Linked DNA regions of Sus scrofa. The protein of the gene in region 3 interacts with the protein of the main gene of each other region in a biochemical or structural test. Links are inferred from orthologs where the notes say so. Each region holds a gene or a part of one and is shown on either strand. Other genes may lie near its edges. The genes, in order: TPPP, ISG15 and HDAC6.

What was found.
Region 1: the proteins of HDAC6 (region 3) and TPPP form a complex in vitro, tested with the Homo sapiens proteins (2 studies listed by BioGRID). The link is inferred for Sus scrofa from reciprocal best matches to the Homo sapiens genes HDAC6 and TPPP.
Region 2: the proteins of HDAC6 (region 3) and ISG15 form a complex in vitro, tested with the Homo sapiens proteins (3 studies listed by BioGRID). The link is inferred for Sus scrofa from reciprocal best matches to the Homo sapiens genes HDAC6 and ISG15.

Annotation. Positions count from the first base shown.
Region 1 is NC_010458.4:79,532,610-79,539,395, reverse strand, and holds the start of TPPP (tubulin polymerization-promoting protein), read right to left. Parts: upstream 4,293-6,786; 5' UTR 4,275-4,292; intron 1-4,274.
Region 2 is NC_010448.4:63,359,885-63,365,927, reverse strand, and holds ISG15 (ubiquitin-like protein ISG15), read right to left. Parts: upstream 2,728-6,043; 5' UTR 2,652-2,727; coding exon 2,649-2,651; intron 2,247-2,648; coding exon 1,746-2,246; 3' UTR 1,717-1,745; downstream 1-1,716. Other genes in the region: uncharacterized protein LOC110261384, read left to right, coding at 1-81, 797-1,165.
Region 3 is NC_010461.5:42,915,855-42,922,640, reverse strand, and holds the start of HDAC6 (histone deacetylase 6), read right to left. Parts: upstream 4,429-6,786; 5' UTR 4,332-4,428; coding exon 4,236-4,331; intron 4,094-4,235; exon of another isoform or gene 3,940-4,093; intron 3,929-3,939; exon of another isoform or gene 3,902-3,928; intron 3,510-3,901; coding exon 3,387-3,509; intron 3,303-3,386; coding exon 3,174-3,302; intron 3,035-3,173; coding exon 2,946-3,034; intron 1,100-2,945; coding exon 1,015-1,099; intron 917-1,014; coding exon 876-916; intron 1-875.

The DNA.
Region 1 (6,786 bases), on a different chromosome or scaffold from region 3:
CAACTGACGCAACTAGGAAGCTGTGCTGAAGGGGCAGGGGGACGGCGAACCCAGACGGGGTCTGCACGGACAGAGGGGTCATCCGCGGTGTTAGTTTAACCCAAACAGAAATCCCAGCCGTGCGGAATGCCTGGGTGTGGAGACAAAAGCTGAATGCAAAAGGCGCGCGGATAAACGAGCGGCCTGAAAGGCAGACCAGGCAGAGGTTTTGCCCAGGGGTTCCACGACCTGATGGAAAACCCTGGAAAGGAAGAGAGTGTGCTGTGTGGTCCTGGTGCAAGGGCAGAGAACAAACCACCAGGCGCAAGAGAGCCCCCAGTCCGCCCACCCACACGCGACGAGGGTGGCCAGCGGGAGAAGCGGGGACGGAAACCTTTGCTGCAAAAGGGGAGGCTTGACGGGCCAGCCGCACAGAAGAAACGAGGGCTCACTCGGGTACTGATGCAGCAGGAGAGGCACCGTCACGAAGTCTTCGGAAGGCACTGCCGCCCTCGGGGTGGGAAAGGACTCGAAAACCACGGTCCCCGAAGGACAAGGTTCTTAAACGCAGCCGATGAAAGCGAAGCCCTTCTGCTCGTCCAAGGGCACCGCTAAGGGAGTGAGACGGCGGCCGCGGGGTGCACGGGACCCACACTCCAGCACCTGTGAAGAACCCGCCCATCAGCAAGAAAGGGCACCTCCGCAGAGACGAGAAGGGCTGGACGAGGCCTCAGCACATCCGGACGCCCCGCAACCCACGGGCTTGCTGCCCAAGCCCCAAAATGCAGGCGCTGGCGCCCGGCCTCCGGAGAGCTGCCCGCCGAGCAGGGCGCTGCCCGCCAGACGGCCCAGCACCTGGCACCTGCTCTCGTGGTCTCTACGCAACAGAACACCTGCACACGGGGCCCCCAGGGCAGGAAACGACCCCAAGGCCCAGGCCCCGACGACAGATGGGTGGATGGTAGTGGTTCACGGGGTGGAACGCGGCAGCCGGTCAGGGGCTCAGACGGAGGGCCGCACCCACACAGAAGAGCCCTGCTCGGGGACTTGAGAGGCACGGAGATCAAACACCAAGCCAGTTCTGGGGAACAGGCTTAGGTGGCGAAACCACCCTGCAGGTGGAGCCCCTCCCCCGGGGACAGAGGAGGCAGCCGTGACCTCAGTGCTGACGCCCTGGGGAGAAGGGGAAAGCTGGGGCAGGGACCTCGGGCCGTGGAGCACCCAGCACAGCTCGGCGGGTGGGAGGTGAACCCCCTTCCCACAAAGAGAGCGGGGTTCCCAGCCGGCCCCTCGCAGGTTCCAGGCCCACGGCCCACTTACACCCAGAGGCCGGCGACACGAGGCAGTGGGGCGGGTGAGGCCTGAACGGGGTCGCCCAGAGGGCTAGGGGATGCTGGCTTTCAGGATGCTCCCACTGGAGCGAGAAGTGCCCAGGGCAGAGGCCGTGTAGGCTTAATGGGGCCATGGGCTGAGATTCGGGAACTGTAGCCCAAAGTGGGACAGGGACGGGCGGGCGGGGGACACGGTGGGGACATGGGGGCACTGGCAGCAGTAGCAGGAGGCGAGGGGGCAAGAAAAGGCTGGAGGAAAGGCAGAGCCAGTCCCTCCGGCTCACAGATGTCACCAAGAAAAGGCGGAGCGGGTGTGAACGCGCCCGCCCCCGCCCCCGCCCCCACCCGTGAGCTCACCCGCCCTGCCCCCCCACCCCCATGTCCTTACACCCCGTGAAAGCCTTTCCACACTGTCTCACCAAAGAAGGGCGAGCCGTCACACATTCAGACCCTGGGTTACACCTGGGTCTCTCTGCCGCCGCGGTGAAGGGGAAATCGGGAGCCTGAAGACAGGCCGCCTCCCCATCAGGGAGCAGACGTGGGGCTTGCCTCGTCCTTGTGGGAAGCTGCCCCTCGGGGCTGCAGGTCACAGAACCGGCGCCCTCCCCGAGACCCCGGGGGGCGGGGGGCAGCAAGGCCATTTCTTCCCGAGGAGGCGCTGCTGAGCTGGGATGCCCGGTCTGGGGTTTCTGAGGGTGCTGTCGCCCTGGTTACCTCCCCACCAGGAGGGCTACAAGCGGGGAATGAGCTCCCACGGGGGCTGGAACCACATCTGAGCCCCAGACGCAGCTGGGCCCCACCGAGGCAGCCCTGAGCCTTCCCGCCCAGTGAACACCTGCTGCTGAAGGGGTGGGCGGTGGGTGTGTGTTGATTCTCCTGCCAAAGCCCAGCGTCTGCGTGGTCCGGGGTTTGTGGGCTCAGGTGGACTGGGCACAGTGCCCGGCACCCTCAGCTGGCGTGGTTTCTGGACGGCGCCAGGCTGGGCTCAGGGCATGAACCTCACGGCCCAAGGAGGACCTGATACTTCAAGGTGCAGCAGGGCCCCGTCCCTGGTGGCCCCTGTATCCCCAGATGGCATCTTCTACATGCTCCTCCAGCCTCACCAGCAACATCACCAGCTATAAATAGGCCTGGCGCTAAGTCAGCACAGCCTCTCCCCGAGGAAGCTTTTAATTCTCAGCCTCTCCTGCAGGGAGCGGCTCGTTGCCCACCAGGGAGGCCACGTGGACACTGCCTCGGAGGACAGTTTGGCTGCTCAAACGTTTCTCCTAAACCTCAATCAGTGATAAGTGATTTTAATTCTCTACATGAAATTCTCCTGTGATTTGCACATTTCCCACAATGAGCATCTATAACCTTGGATCTAGTAAAAACAGTTTATTTATTGCAACTTCAAAGGATTCACGAAGATCAGCCAAACAACACCTAGGAAATAAGAATAAACCCAACACAGCTTCCTCTAGTCTCCGTCACTTCATCATTCGGAAAAGACAGAGAAGAATTTTTACTGCAGTGTTTAAATGACGGTCCCTTTCTGAGTCTAGATCCTTCTGGAAATCATGAAAGCTCTACAGACCCTTTCCCCAGGAAAACACGCAACTCTCGTGTGGCCTGCACTTTGCAGCCGCTCCCAGGAAATTCACCACACCCCTCCTCCCCTCAGTCATCACAGAGCCCTGCCATCCCTGCCCAGTGCTGGGAACAGGGGCTGGTACCAGAGATGGGAGCCCAGCTAAAGGCACTGCAAGGCGTCTGTCTCACTGCTGCCCCCCATTTCCTGCCTGTTCCAAGCCTCCCCTCTCCAGCCCCACTGCTCCGTCCGGATGCCGTCCCAGTGCCCTGTAGTTCAGGTCAGGGTTTACTGACCCCTCCTAAGCGTCAGGGGCTGGTCTAGGCTCTGGGGAGCGCCACCCCCCACCCCCCCAGTTCACCGTGCCTGAGACTGGCCGTGGGGAGTCCTGGAGGCAGCAGTGGGGGCCGTGGGAGCTAGGTCCTTTCGCCCGCCTCCCCCAGGGACCATGCACGTATCCCATAAATGTCAGCAGAATCAGCCAATAAACACACGGATGGATGACAGCATAGCCAGCTTATCCTAAAAGGTGTCTCATCTTCAGAGAACCCCAAACGCCTATCAAAACAGCAGTCACAGGCAGGGTAGCCGAATGAGTTCACTTCTCACCCATTTCAAGGCTTCATTTACATAACTGAAACCGCAGAATAAAGAGTTTCCCTAGATCCTCCTTCGAAGGCGGGGTTAGGTGTGTGGAAAAAAATAAATTGGCAGCCAACCTCTTTATCTTGATTGCCGGTTCCGTGCCCACATGCGATAAGAAAACATAACACCCCTCGGGGGAAGCTTCTGGATTTGCAAACTGTAGGCCTGACACTCTCACCTGCACCGGCAATGGCGCCGGAGCCCTCGCCAAATGATCACGCGCATTCTGGGCCCGTGGACACAAATGGCCCTCCGTGGCCCTGGATCTCCTAAAATCCATGCTCTATGACAATGGCTTCATTTCAGACCCTCTAAGCCCGCGTTTCCCGCCGTCTCGCCTGCAGCCGACACGCCAGGCCTGGGCATGTGAACGTGTTCATACAGCTGGACACGGAGAGGGAAGGGGCTGGAAGGGCAGTCCTCTGTCGCCTTACGCACGGACGCAAAGAAAGGCGAAAGCGCCTTATTTAGGGCCCAATTATAAACCTGCCCTCTGCATCGCGCGCTGTCTCAGCTCGCTCCCAGCGCGTCCCCAGACCCACGCCCCGACGCGGCTGCAGGATTCCGAGCTCCGCGCGGATAGCTGGCAGCCCCAGGGCGCCCGGCGCACGGACGCGCGGAGCCTCGGGAAAGGGGCGCGGGCCGGCGCCGGGAATGAGTGGTGTGCCCGGCTTGCGGGCGCAGGTGGCCGGAGAAGCAGGGGGCCCTGTGCACCGCGCCTCAGGACGGAGCGGCCCGCGGCCACTTACCTCGGCGATGCGGCGACTGCAGCAGCGGCGCCTCCGCGACTCTCCCGCGCGCGACCGGGCGCCCGGCCTGCTCTCGCGGCACCGCCCCCGGCCCCGCCCCCGCCCCCGCCCCCGCCCTCCGGCCCCGCCTTCCGGCCCGCCCCCGGCTCCCCCTTCCACGCACGTCCTTCCCCACGCCCTACCCGCCCCGCGCTCTCATTGGAGGAGCCCCCTCGGGCCCCCACCCCCGGCTCCACTGACCGGTCCTCACTGGCTCTCACGGCCCCCAGCCCAGGCCCCGCCCCCCAGGCCCGCCCCCCAGGCCCGCCCCTAGCGCTCTCGGCGGCTCCGCCCCCGCCCCCCTCTCGGGACGCCTGCTCGCCGAGGTCGTTTGAGCGCAGCGTCTGCCTTACAAGGCGGATCGGCTCGTGCCCTCCGGGCCACACAGCTCCGCGGGGCGGGGGCAGTGCCTATGCGGCCCCAGCATGCCCTCCCGGACCGTGGACGCGGGAGGACGGATGGGTCTGCGGACAGGCCTGAGTGGGGCGGCCAGGTGCTGGCCTCTTCACAGAGATGCTCGGGCCAACGAGGGGGTCCGCGGTGGCGAGGCTCAGACCCCACGGAGGGGGCGCAGGGTGGGACGGAGTGGGGCCGATGCGCGAGAGTTTGGGGAACAGCAGGACTGTGAGGCGAGCGCCTGGGTGGTGTCGGCCGGTGTCGGGGAAGAGAATCCGTGCCGGGCACCGGAGGCTGTGCAGCCGCGCCTCCTTCCGGGGCGCAAGCGGGAGCTGCGTCCCCATCTGGGTCCCCCGCACCAGCTGGAGGCCTGCCATCTTCCCAAGGACGACGTGTACCCCTGCAGGTTACCTGTGTGAAGGGTGCAGTTCTCAAGGGCTCTTTCCCCCGGCTCCTCCTCGCCTCCTGTACCCTCCCCACCGGCCGCCCCTGCACTCTCAGGATGCCCGGCTTCGGGGAAAAGGGTGGTCTTTAGGTCACTTACAGCTCCACTGCCCTGACCCGGAGCTGGCCAAGGATCTGAGCTCGTCTCCTGGCTGCAAAGCCCCCAGACCTTACACACACACAGACACGCACACTCTACGGCCCATCTAGCTGCAGACCCCCACTCTCCCAGATGCAGAACTAAACCCCCAAACATACATTCAGCCTCTGTGCTCCACCCCGCCTGCAGGGACCCCACGTCCCAAGCCCAGGCTCTGCTCTGCTCTCAGGTCTCTGAGTCACAAGCACCTGCAGCAGCTTCTGACCTAACCTGGGATGCCGTTCAGGCCAGGCAGCCCGGCAAAGGCAGCAGAGGAAGCTGAGGTGCTGCTGTCCAACAGACCGCCAGCCCGGAGGATACCTGGGGAGCCAGGGGCAGGCTGAGCCCCTATCCCCACCGTGGTCCTGGGTCCCAGTGCCTTCCTCTCAACTCCTCTGGTTGCTACTTCTGCTCAACACCAGGTGAAGATGGGCTTCTAATTATCGTTGCCCTGAAAAATCCCATACTCCAGAGACCAGGCAAATCCAAACTCGTGGCGTTGGAAGAACAGGGAAAACGTGAGATCGCCCTGTGGCCAGCTCCTCATGACCCTGACTCTTCAGGTTGAAGCTGGCTGCACCTTCTCGGACCCACAGAGCCCCCAGCGCTGCTGAAGCCGCTGTTAACGATGTGCAGGAAACAATGAAAAACTCCACTCAGTGTTATGTTCCAATCATCGTATTAGCCAAATGGCGACTCTGTTAGTGCATTTTTCCGAACCTGTGCAGGGGCTGTGAGGTGGACCTGGTGATTCTGCCAAGGGTAGAATTGCGCTGGGAGGTGGGCGCCAGGCCTCCGAAGCCGAAACGGTCCAGGACCGGAGTCAGGGGAAGTCCGGCCAGACCTGGCGAGCAGTGGGCCGGCTCCTGGCACACCTGCGCCAGGCAGGAAGGGTGGAGCCACAGCCCTCCGAGGCCCCGCCCCACGGTCCAGACCACCGGAAGCCAGCATGGTGGCCGCTGTCCCTCTCTTGAGGCTGGTTGTCTGCTGATGAACTTGAGCTTTGGTCCTTGGGAGGCGGGCCCTTTCACAGCATAGGGTCAGGTCCGGCCACACTCGGAAAAGCGCCAGAAATAGTGGCATCGGCTCTTACCAGACTGGAAGGGTCGCCTTGCCGTGGGATGGCAGGTTACATCCCGGTTTGCGGGCAGAAGACCCTTCTCCGCCGTGGCTGCCCTTCTGGAGCCCCTTTTGTGGGGGTGACTCTGCACCCTGGTCCTTGGTCCCTGACACGACCTGGACCGTCTCCGTCCACCCTCCAGGTGGGAAAGCCCAGCTCGCGGTTGGCGGGTGCACGGCAGCCACATGGAGACTGGCCTGTGAGCACTGGTAGGACCCTGTGCTTGTTTCTCAGGGTCACAGGAAAAGAACCGCCAGGCCCCGGCAGCCTAAACAGCAGAGACGCTCACAGTCCCAGCGAAAGAGCCAAAGAAGTCCAAAGCCATGGTGGTGACAGGCGTGCTCCCTCAAAAGGCTCCGGTGACCCTGCCTGCC
Region 2 (6,043 bases), on a different chromosome or scaffold from region 3:
CTGCGAACAAAGCGCCGGGACAGCGGCGCCGGGTGGAGGCCGGGCTGCGGAAGGGAGGGGGCCGGTCTGCGTCGGGCCAAGGTGGGTGGTGGGACTGGCCGGGGCGAAGGTGGGCCGGGCGGGGCGGGGGCGGGGGCGGGCCGGAGGGTGATCTCCTTGCTGCGACGCACCCCCACGGACGCCCCTGCCCCGCCCGCGCGGACGTTCTCCACCCCCACTCCCCCGCCAGGAAATGCGGCTGAAATCGGGTTAATGCATAATCTGGAGGCGACGTGACGGGACTTCCAAGGGGCTCCAGGCTGCGCCGGGGCTGGGGCGGCGAGGACTCCCCGGCTGCGGGGAGGGGCTGCCAGATCCGGGGCCCCACCGCCTCTTGAGCCCTGCAGGGCAGTGCCCCGCCCCCAGCAGGAGGGACTGACTGGGGACCCCAGCCCCTCGTTGGAACTGGGGACGGAAGCTCGGCCGGCCCGGGACCCCCTTCCTGCTGGGACCAATGCGGGCCGGGGGCTGCAGCGATTGGTCACAGGGAGTAGAGGCCCGCCCACCTCCCCCTCCCGGTAAGCTCCGGCCCCTCTGCAGGGAGACGGGCTCCCTCTGCCGCCACGAGGCTGCAATCGCGTGTCAGCAGTGGACGGCCGGCCACGCCCCCTCGCCCGCTCCCGGAGCTCCGCTAGGTACCGAAGGTAAGCCGAGAAGGGTATATGCTGAGATCCAGACCCGCTAACTTAGAGCATGACCTAGATGAAGGTGGTGGGGGGCGGGGGGCGGGGAGAGGAGATCCCTTCTGTCTCTCTAGGACTGGGTCCGCCGCGCACACCCTCACGCAAGCCGGCCGTGGATCTCGGAGCCAGAGGCAACGGAGGATGAGCAGCGGAAGAGACCCCTCTGGAGGAGGACGCTACTCCGCCCAGACCCTGGTGGAGGGATTCAAAAGAGGAGGGTGGCGCTGAGGGTGTGTGCTCACACTAAGTTACGGTATGACACAGAGGTGGGGGTGGAGGTGCAGGAAGTGAGGCTGGAGCCAGGAGCACCCCCGCCGATGCACCCTCACCTGCATATCTACACATATATCTGTCACAGGCAGGTCTGCTCCCCCTCCCCCACTCAGCTGTGGACCCCCACAGACCAGGAAGGAGGCTTCTGGGTCTTCAGCCAAATGCCCTGAAGAGCCCGAAAGCAGAGGTCCTCAGAGCCATGCCCAGAGAGGTCCACGTCCTGTGCTCCTGCCTCCCCCATGTCCAGGGCTGACTCAGCCTGGCTCCTGTGGGGCTCACGGGGGAGGCTGGCTTCCCTCACAGCTCACCCAGACAGGCCACAGGGGCTCATGCCCCCACTGCTTCCAGGGGCACTCACCTGGCCAGGCCTTCTCCTCCCTGTGCTATCTGCTGACCCAGATGTGGGGCTGCAGAGCTGACCACGGCACAGCAGGAAGACAAGGATGGGCTCTAGCGGCTGTGCCTCTTTTTATTTCTCTAGAAGGTAATTTCCCAAAGATGTGGGGACACATCTTCGATTTCTCTGGTGTGTGTGGGGCACCATTTTGATCCCACAAGGCTTGTCCCTTAACTTGGCAACTCTAGTCTGGTGACCACCCAGCAACCTCTGGGTCCCCTCATCCCACTCCCTCCTCCATCTCACCTCCTGTCTCACCAAAATGGGTGCAGAATGGAGGACTGACACCGAGATGGTGCTGGCCAGAGAAGAATGGACGCTTTGTTACACTCAATTTTGCCACAGCTTTATTACTAGCACTCGGTGAGGTGCTCCCCTGGCCCTGTCCCGCCCCCCCGCAGGCGCAGATTCATATACACGGTGCACATAGGCTTGAGGTCATACTCCCCCAGCTGGTGCTCATCCTCCATGGGCTTCCCCTCGAAAGTCAGCCAGAACTGGTCAGCTTGCACGCCCTCCTGCTGACACACCTGCTGCTTGAGCTCAGCCACTGTCTGCGTCAGCCAGACCTCATAGGCGTTGCTGCGACCCTTGTCGTTCCTCACCAGGATGCTCAGTGGGTCTCTGAAGCTTTGCACCATCAACAGGACTGTGCTGCCTGGGCCCAGGCCCTGGTTGACCAGGGGCACCCCATCCTGAAGCACATTGCCGGCTGGGTGAGCCAGACGCTGCTGGAAGGCGGGCACACCGATCTCCCGGGCGATCTGCTGCTTCAGGTCCGATGCCATCATGCAGTCCCTCAAGGGCACCAGGATCTCCTTGCCTCCCAGCATCTTCACCTTCAGTTCCCTACCCTGTGGGCGTCACACAGGCTCAGAGACCCTGTCACCAGTCCCAGGGCCACCACATAGTGGGGCAAAAGCTCCTAGAGCCCAGGAGTGCTGCTCCCTCCTCCCTACCCTCCCCACCCTCCAGGAGGGGGACCCCGGGCACTGGAGAGGGCAAGGGGGCATTTCTAGAATGGCCACCACCCACAACCATCATGTCACCTCCCTTCACCAGCTAAGATGCCTCCCTGTGCCGACCCCAAGGGATCTCAGCCCTCTGAGGACACAGACCCTGACGTCAGGAGGAGCCCCATCCCTCCCCTCATGCTTAGGAACCTGGCGGGCCCTGAGCAGCTCTGTCTGCCTGGTACACATAGGTGTTCTGCCCCTGGGAGAGGCCACCTGCCCCACCTGTCAAACCCCCCTCACCATGGCCGTGGGCTTTGGCGACAGGTCCTCTGTGAGCTCTGCTTCGCTGCCTCTGTGCGCTCTGCGTCGCTGCCGCTCAGCTCGCCGCTGCTCTTCAGCCGTGGCGGCTCAGCCCTTTAAAAAGCCTGAGCAGCCGCGTCAGAGGGCGGAGTCCAGGAGCCAACCACCGCGGGAGCCGAAATCGAAATCGGCTTCAGTTTCGGTTTCCTTTTCCCAAGGCAGGCTCCGGAGTGCATGGCAGGAAAAAACAAATAGCAATGACAGGACATTGAGGAAGGGGGTACAGAGTCTCTCCAGCTGCCAGCCAGGCACACGACAGCATCCCCGCCTCCAGAGGTACGTGTTCAGAAACCCCCGGCACGCCCAGTGCCTCACATCCTTTTCACGATGCACAAATAGCATCATAATACCGAGAGCTAACAATTGGCAACTTTCACTTTCCATTTACCAGTTTGCAAAATTAGGAACCTTGGAAATCATTGCCGGGGTTAATTCAGAAATAGCAAAACATAGTGACAGTCCAACCAAGCCAGAGATAACAACCATTGGTTTATGACAATATTTATTCAGGTTTTTTATTCAGATTTTTTAAATGAAAGAGATGTGTCTTTTATTTTCCATGAAAATGAACTCACGAATACTATTGGCAAGGTAAAAAAACTATCTACAAAATGGGAGAAAATATTTGCAAGTCATGTGTCAGTTAAGGGCCTAGTATCCATAATACATAAGGAACGTTTACAACTCAACAACAAAAAGATAAACAACTCATTTAAAAGTTGGGCAAAAGACTTCACAGACAGTTTAAAATAGAAAATACGTAAATGGCCAACAACCACATGAAAAGATGCTCAACATCACTGGCCATCAAGGAAATGCACATCAAAACCACAGCGAGATACCATGTCACACCCACTAGCATGACAATAATAATAACAACGATTAAAAAGAGAACAGTAACAAGTGCTGGTGAAGGTGTGGAGACATTGGAATCCTCATACATTGCTGATGGGAATGAGAAGTGGTGCAGCCACTGTGGAAAACAGTCTAGTCAATCCTCAAAATGTTAAACAGAATTTTCATGTGATTCAGCAATTGCATTTCTGGGCACAGGCCCTAGAGACCCGAAGACAGGTGTTCAAACAAATGCTTGCACAGAAATGTTAACAGCAACTCCGTTCACAGTAGAGGAGTCATAGAAATGGGGTGGGGGGAGGAACCAAATCCATCAGCAGGTGGAGGCCTCACCAAAGTATGGCCCATCCTGGAGTTCCCGTCGTGGTGCAGTGGTTAACGAATCCGACTAGGAACCATGAGGTTGCGGGTTCGGTCCCTGCCCTTGCTCAGTGGGTTAACGATCCAGCGTTGCTGTGAGCTGTGGTGTAGGTTGCAAACGTGGCTCGGATCCTGTGTTGCTGTGGCTCTGGCCTAGGCCGGTCGACTAGCCTGGGAACCTCCATGTGCCGCGAGAGCGGCCAGAGAAATGGCAAAAAGACAAAAAAAAAAAAAAACCAAAAAAACAAAAACAAAGTATGGCCCATCCTTAGGGTGGAACACTCTTCAGCCATAAAAACGAGTGAAGCACTGCCACAGGCTACACTGTGAGGGAACCTTGAAAATATGGTGCTCAGTGAAAGAAGATAGACACAGAAGGTCACATATTGTGTGACTCTGTGGAATGGCCACACGCGGCCAGTCCATGGAGACTCAAAGTTGTCCGGTGGTAGCCAGGGGCTGGGGGAGGGGGGAAGAGTGGCAGCGAAGGACACAGGTCTCCTTTGGGATGGTGAAATGTTTCAGAACTGCATCAAGTGACGGCTGTGCCACACTGTAAATATGCTAAAGGCCACTGAATTACATACTTTAAAGCGGTTAAGTTTATGTTGCATGGAATTCCCGCTGTGGTGCAATGGGATCGACGGTCTTGGGAGCGCTGTGACATGGGTTCCATCCCTGGCCCAGCACGGTGGGTTAAGGACTCGGCGTTGCTCTGAGCTATGGTGTAGGTTGCAGATGCCTCTCGGATCCTGTGTGGCTGTGGCTGTGGTGTAGGCCGGCAGCTGTAGCTCTGATTCGACCCCTAGCCTGGGACGTGAGTGCAGCCCTAAAAAACAAACAAACAAACAAACAAAAACAAAAAAAAAACACCCTCCTAACTACTGTCACCGTTTTGTAACCTGCTTCATTCTTAGATGTGTTTAAACATCTTTCCATAGTAATAGATACTTTTATGCAAGTTGTTTTAGTGTCTGCGTATGTTCCCCACAGCATCAGGAGTCTACTGGAGAATAGGATGCAATCAGGAGTTCCCCTGTGGTTCAGTGTGTTAAGGATTCGGTGTTGTCACTGCAGTGGCCTGGGAACTTCCACATGCTGCAGGCGTGGCCAGAAAAAGAGCAAAGAATAGAGTGTAATTAATTAACCCATCCCATATTGTTGAATATTTAGGTTGTTCTCAAATTTTCACTATTACAAACTGCACATTATAGGCATATGTTTGCTAAAAATAAATAGATAATTAATTTTTAAAATAAATAGCTTTAAGTGAACTCAGTCAGACAATGAGACACCAACATCAAATGCTTTCACTGACATGTGGAATCTGAAAAAAGGACAGAATGTACTTCTTTGCAGAACAGATACGGACTCACAGACTTTGAAAAACTTATGGTTTCCAAAGGAGACAGTTTGAGGGGTGGGGGGATGCGCTGGGGGTGTGGGATGGAAATCCTATAAAATTGGATTGTGATGATCATTGTACAACTATAAATGTAATAAATTCATTGAGAAACAAACAAACTAAAATAAAGTAAAAATAATTTTAAAAACATTTTTGTCTTTTATTCTTTTCCCTTTAAAAATAATTTTAAAGAAAAAAAAAGTAAATAAACTTTTAAAAAGAAAGTAATGAGTTCTGGTGGCCTAGTGGTTAAAGGATCCAGTGCTGTTGCGGCTGTGGCTTGGGTCACTGCTGTGGCGTGGGTTCCATCCCTGGCCCTCAAACTTTTGCATGCTGCAGGTGCAGCCAAGAAATAAATAAATAAATAAATGGAAAATACAAAGTATTTTGAATATAAATTGATCATTCCACCTCCCCTTCCCCCAAATGATCTCATAGGGTACCAAAGTTGCTAACATGCCAAAAACAGTTGAAAAAATTGGTTCTTCATATGATTGAAAATTTTTTCTTGACACACTCCTTGCATAAATATTAGTATTATAAAAAGAAAACTGCAAATATAACAAAAGAATAAGAATGTGAAAACCCTTCAATCTCCTTCAGCTGACCATTATTAAACATGGCACAAAGATAAAGAAATTAAAAAATTAAAACAGTTACAAAGAAGTTTAAAAATAAAAACATAAGGAGTTCTCTTATGGTGCAGGAGGTTAAG
Region 3 (6,786 bases):
CCAGAGTGTTCTAGCCATCTGTACCTCCCTTCCCTCAGGCTTCTTTGTATCACTCTCACTCTTTTTTTTTTTTTTTTTTTTTGGTCTTTTTAGGGCTGCACCTGTGGCATATGGAAGTTCCCAGGCTAGGGGTCCAATTGGAGTTACAGCTGCCAGCCTATACCACAGTCACAGCAATGTGGGATCCAAGCCGTGGCAGTGACCTACACCACAGCTCATGGCAATGCGAGATCCCTCACCCACGGAGCAAGGTCAGGGATTGAGCCTGTGTCCTCATGGATACCAGTTGGTTTCGTTACCGCTGAGCCATGATGGGAACTCCATCTTTTTCTCCTCTTAGTTATTTTTTTTTTGGCCACACCCACAGCATGTGGAAGTTCCTGGGCCACAGGGATTCAGGAATTGAACTCGTGCCACAACAGTCACCCAAGCAGCTGCAGTGACAAGGCTGGATCCTTAATCCACTGAGCCCCAAGGGAACTCCTCTCTCTCTTCTTAAAGCTCAGCTGAGATACCCTCTCTGCCAAGTTAATGTCCCTTGAGCCATATCTCACCAGGCCCCTTACCCTGGGTTCCTGCAGCCCCCTGGAGGAACCTCCTGATCACTCTGTCCACATACCCGTCATCTGTTTACACATCAGATTATAGTAACGAGAGTTCATCCGGGCTGATGATACATCAGGCACCATTCTAAGTACCTCACACAGGTTTACTGGCCCCCAAGATAAAGGCAATGACAACAATGAGATTCAGAGAGGCTCAGTGACTTGCCCAAGGCCACAGAGCCCATGACATTTCTTGCCAAAGCATCCAGCCTGCCCTGGTTGGCCCAGGGCAGCCTCCTCCCCATCCCTACAAGGCACCCAAGCCTTCACCTGTGAACCAACATAAGCTCCTCCTTTTCGGCGAATCGGGCCTGGGGAGACATGAGGAATAAAGAACTATAAGGCTCTGGCTGTGCCTGGGTCCTGCCAGCTGCTGCCCTCCATACGGGGTGTCGGCTGGGGAACTCACCTGAAAGGACACGCAGCGGTCCAGGAGGCCCTCCTGCATCAGCTGCTCCTTGATGGCATGGAGCCGCTCAGGGCCTTCAGGGAAGCTGGGTTGACAGAGACACAGACATATGACACTGGTGAGCACGTCTGCTCCTGCGCACCTTTCCCCATCTACCTGTCCACAGCTGCTGATGCCGGAAACTCTGGAGTCAGCCCTGGCGCCTGCTGGCTCGGTTCTCACAATAGATCCAGAGCCTGCCCCTCTCCTCATCACCTCCACCGCTGCTACCATGACCTCTCGCCCGGGTACCTCCTCACCGGCCTCTGGGGTCCTGTCCTTGTCCCTCTCTCTGCAATGGTTAAAACTCAAATCGGATCACGTCCCTCCACTACTCAAACCTTCTCATGGCTCCCATCTCATTCAGGGTAAGCGCCAAAGTGCTCCCCCGCCCCAGAAGGCCCTTAACCATCCACCCCGTCACCTCCCTGAGCCTCATTTCCTCCTGCTTCCCCCGCCCCCCGGCCACTCACTCTGCTTCTCCTGCATTGGTCTCCTCCGTGTTCCTCAACCAAACTGAGTAGGTCCCAGCTGGCACTTCCCCCTGCCCAGGACAAGCTTCTCCCAGATGTTCTCTGTAGCTCACATCCTCACCTCCTGCAGATCCCCACTCGCGTACTGAGGCCTCCCCTGACCACCCTATTTATTCTGGTCTTTTTAGGGCTGCACCCACAGCACAGGGCAGTTCCCAGGTTAAGGGTCGAATTGGAGCTGCAGCTGCCGGCCTACACCACAGTTCACGGCAATGCTGGATCCTTAACCCACGGAGCGAGGCCAGGGATCGAACCCGCATCCTCGTGGATCCCAGTTGAGTTCGTTAACCACTAAGCCACGAAGGGAACTTCAATAGTAAAGTCTTTTGACATCCTGACTCTTCCACTGGGATAGGGGTGATAGATACTAAACTGGTGAATACATAAGTATAACAACAGACAAACAATGACATGGCTAGGAATAATCTGAAGCTCAGGGGAAGGGGAGTGGCCAAGCAAAGCCCTCTCTGAGGGTCTCCTGGAGACATGACTGTTAACTGGGAGAGAAGGTGGAAGTGAATTTCTGGAAAGGGCATTGGCCAGAGTAAAGGCCTGAGGGGAGGGAGTGCCTGGCATGTTGGAAGCACAGTAAAGGGACCAGTGTGTGTGAGGTGAAGCGAAGCAAAGCGAATGAGGGGGAGGACTGGCTGATGAGGTCACCAAGGTGCTAGGGAACCAGATCACGTGGAACCTTAGAGGCCAAGAGGCTGGGGTGAAGAATGTGAACTTTACCTTCAGGGCAACAGTTTGCCCTTGAAGGACTTAAAGAGAGAGAACATCATCTTATACATATTTTTGGCGTGGAGGGGGAGCATGGGCAGCAGGGCTGAGGGTGGGAGGCCTCTGCAAGTCTAGGTCAGAGATGATGGTGGCAGCAATGGAGGCGGAGAGGAGAGGTGAGATTCTGAACATAGAGCCAAAAGGATGTGCTGATAGATTGCAACGTGTGACTCTTCTGTATCAGCACAGACATCCCTTCTTCAAGGAAGCCTCCTGGGAACCCTGGATGCTAGTCTAGGGTCCTCTATTAAACACTTCTGACTCCCCTGGTCTCGAGTCCTTCTTCATGAAAACACCTCACACTGCTGGCGGCTGTTTGATGACCTGCTCTCCTTATCGCCTGTCAGCTCCTGGAGAAGGATCCCTGTCTATCTGGTCTGATACATCTGTAATCACCATCCCTGGGCACACAGTAGGCTCTCAATAGATATGTGTTGACTAAATGAAAAGAACCCATTCGAGCCTGAGCCTCGTCTCCCTAGGTCATGTGCTAGAGTAAGAAAGGATTCATTCTTGCTAATGGGCTCTAAGGGTGTATGTTTGTGTGATTTGAGTATGGCCTGGAGAAGCCAGCCTCACCTGTCATCCCAGAGGCAGTGGAATTCATTTAGCTGCTCATCCAACACCAAGCCAGTGCCAGACGGTGTCCTGGCCTCCAGGTTCAGATCCTGTGAGGAAAAAGAAAAAAGGGAAAGGCTGATGCATTGAGAGCCTGAGTCAGAGGGAACCTCCCACACTCTCCAGGATGGAGAACCTCACGGTTTTGATTGTCACAGGAGGCTACATTGCAGCCAGGCCCCCTCTCACCAGCCCTTGGAGCCCCACGATTAGGTCTTGCTCGGCTGCTTGGCTAAGCTTCTTCATTCTGCCTTTCTTCTTTACATCCGCTAGATTGGGGCTGGAGCGGAGTCCGGCACCCTTTTTAACACCTCGCTTCTGCCAAACAGAGAGAAGGGTCAGAGTCCAGTACACGGCCCACTGCTCCCCCTCCCCCTCAAGAGGGCCGGTCAGGGGCCTCACCGAGGTGACGCTGGAGTCGTGTGGGGGGGAGTGGGGGTTGTGCCTACTTCTTCGCTGCCTGGTTGTGGTGGAATCCTGGCCGGTGGAGGTCATGGCTGGGGAGACTTCACCCCTGACGCGGTTCTGGGGGGTGGGATGGAGGTGACTGAGAAGGGGCCCCGAGCGCCCTGAAGACCCCTCATCCCAGCCCCTTCCCAGGCCCCGCCCCCTACGCTAGCCTCCATCCCTTAGGCTATCTATTCCCCACCACCTCTAAACTCCGCCTCTCTCAAGGCTCTCTCCCTCCAAGGGGGTGTCCATTCCACTTGGTCCCGCCCATTCCACGAGGCTCCACCCCTTTACACTATTCTTTACCCTTTCGGTCTGGCTCTTTCACAGAGCAATTAACCCCCTGGCCCAGTCCTGATCTAAGCCAGCCCTTGCCAGCTAATCACCGCCCCTTTCACTCTATCAAGCCCCATTCCCAGATCCTTTCATTCCTCAAAGCCTCGCCCAGACCCCACCCCTTCGCAAACCTGCCCTGGCCAGCCAATCTCCCAGGATAATCACCCACCCTTTCACTCAGCCAGCCCCAGCCCCGGGCCCCGACTCCACCCTTAACGATCCACTTAACTCCACCCCTTATCGGGCTGGACCGGCACCTTCCACTAGGCTAGATCCCGCCCCTAACGTTTCAAGGAGCCCAGCTCCTCAGGGGACTGCCCTTTCCCTTCCGCCAGGCTCCACCCCCTGCCCAGGCCCAACCCCAAACGCTTCCCCAAGCCCCTACAGCCATTTCCGAGCCCCTCCCCCAGACCCGCCCCCCCCTCCCCGCCCCCGCTGTCGACGTTGACGAATCCCTCCACTCACTTGGCGCAGCCCCTTTCTCAAACTCCGCCCTTGGCGCGCGCCGCCAATTTCTCGGCGACCTGTAGGGCCGCGGGTGCCTGAGCCTCTCTTTTCCATTGGGCCAGATCTCTCTACAGCCCGCCCCGATCCCGCCCACACCGGGGAGAGCCGGCCTTGCGCCTCCAGCGGAACGCACAAACGGCGGATCAGCGCGTCAGTGCGCGACGCTGGCCGTGCCGCGCCTGCGTGAAGCGCGCGCCGGCTGCCTGACGCGGCGCTCGGGCTCAAGCTTCTCCCCTCCCCCAATCGCCACAGCTGTCACCCTGGCGGTCGTGACCGCGGTTTCTTTGTCCCTGTCCAGTTACCTTAGGAGCCCACCGGACTCGCGCCAACTGTACCGTGCGGTGACTCAAGAGTGCAAGCAAGCAAGCGAGGGAGTTAGGAAAGGGCGTCTTCTCCCTGCCCCCTGGCTTCCCGCGCGGCGCGCCGTGATGACGTAGCGCGGGCGGGCTGGTGGCTGGGCCTGGAGCGCGGTGGAAATTGGACGAGGCTGGTGGCGGCCAAAAAGGGAGTGGTGATGATGACAAATGTGAGAATTTTCTGAGTTCATATTCACTAAGGTGGTACGCAAGGAAGCACTCACCAAATGTTAGCTATTAATAGTCTGCCGCGAAAATGGATGGTGGAATGGAAGGGGGAATGATCGTGACGATAGCAAGTTGTATGTGACAGGCATTGTCGTAAGCCACAGTTCTATGAGGTACTTCCCAGTACTAAGGCTGCTTTGCAGATAAGGAAACTGAGGTTATGGGACTTAGCCATGTGACTTTGGGCAAGTTACTGAACGACTCTGTGCTTCAGTTTCCTCCTCTGGGAAATTGTGATAATAGTGCCGGGGAGTCAGAATGGACCTTGGGAGGGGAGTTTTTCTTGGGTGACAGCTCTTCCTGTCTGCTCCCTCCAGTGGGTAACCTCTGCACGCAAGCTGGAATAGAAAGTGTATGGGTAGGGGGGAGTTGCGCCCCCCCCCCACAATGCGCCCTCCCAACTCTCTCCCACCCCATGGCTAAATGTCTGAATATCAGCCTCGCAGGAGGCCGGTTTGTCCTCCTAATCTCCCTCTCTCATTCTTCACCATTTCCTACCGGGCTGTAGGCTGGGGCGGGAGAGATAAGGGGTCTGGGGTTCAGCATCGCTGACTAACCAACAGATTGACAGCCCCACCGCCCAGTAGCTGGGCCCTCTGACACTCTTGCAAACCCGTTTCAACCTAGTCTTCCCTTCCACTCTTTTCCTACCTGAACGTGTCTTTTGTCCCAGTGGAAGAGGGTCGCAGCTAAAAGACCTTTACACCTCCACGTACGCCAGAGAAAACATGTATATGCAGTGATAAACACAGAGGAACGTTCTGAGGTGATGCTTGCAAAGTGAAAGAGTAGGGAGTCTTGTAAGGGCCAAGACCCACTTTTTTTGTATAGTCAGAAGGGAGGTTTCTGTACAACAAAGGTTGGCAAACTTTTTCTGTAAAGGGCCAGATAGTAAATATTTTAGGTTTTGCAGGCCACATACTGGCCTCTGGGGCATTTTCTTCCTTCCTTTTCTTTCTTTCACTTTCTCTTTTCTTTTCTTCATCTTCTTTTTTTAGGGCTGCACTCGCAGCATATGGAGGTTCCCAGGCTAGGGGTCCAGTCGGAGCTGTAGCTGCCGGCCTACACCACAGCCACAGCCACAGCCACACCAGTTTGGAGCCGTGTCTGAGACCTACACCAGAGCTCAGTGCAATGCCGAATCCTTTAACCCACTGAGCCAGGCAAGGGATTGAACCTGCGTCCTCGTGGATGCTAGTCAGATTCGTTTCTGCTGAGCCATGACGGGAACACCTTCCCTTTTCTTTCCTTTTCTTTCTTTTGCCTTTCCATGGCACACAGAAGTTCCCAAGCCAGAGATGGATCTTGAGCCACAGCCACAGTGACTATGCCAAATCCTTAACCACTAGGCCGCCAGGAAACTCCTCCTTTCCTTTTTTTGTTTCCCTTTCTTTTTTTCTTTTCCTTCTTATTTCCTTTCAGTTTCCTCCTCTGGGAAATTGTGATAATAGTGCCGGGGAGTCAGAATGGACCTTGGGAGGGGAGTTTTTCTTGGGTGACAGCTCTTCCTGTCTGCTCCCTCCAGTGGGTAACCTCTGCACGCAAGCTGGAATAGAAAGTGTATGGGTAGGGGGGAGTTGCGCCCCCCCCCACAATGCGCCCTCCCAACTCTCTCCCACCCCATGGCTTTCTTTTTTTCTTTTCCTTCTTATTTCCTTTCCCTACCCTCTCTTTCATTCCCATTTTCTTTTTTTGTTTGTCTGTTTTTTTCTTTTTGCCTTTTGTCTTTTAGGGCCACACCCACGGCATATGGAACTTCCCAGGCTATGGGTCTAATTGGAGGTACAGGTGCTGGCCTATGCCACAGCCACAGCAACGCCAGATCCGAGCCGCGACTGCGACCTACACCACAGCTCATGGCAACGAGGGATCCTTAATCCAGTGAGTGAGGCCAGAGATCGAACCTGCGACCTCATGGTTCCTAG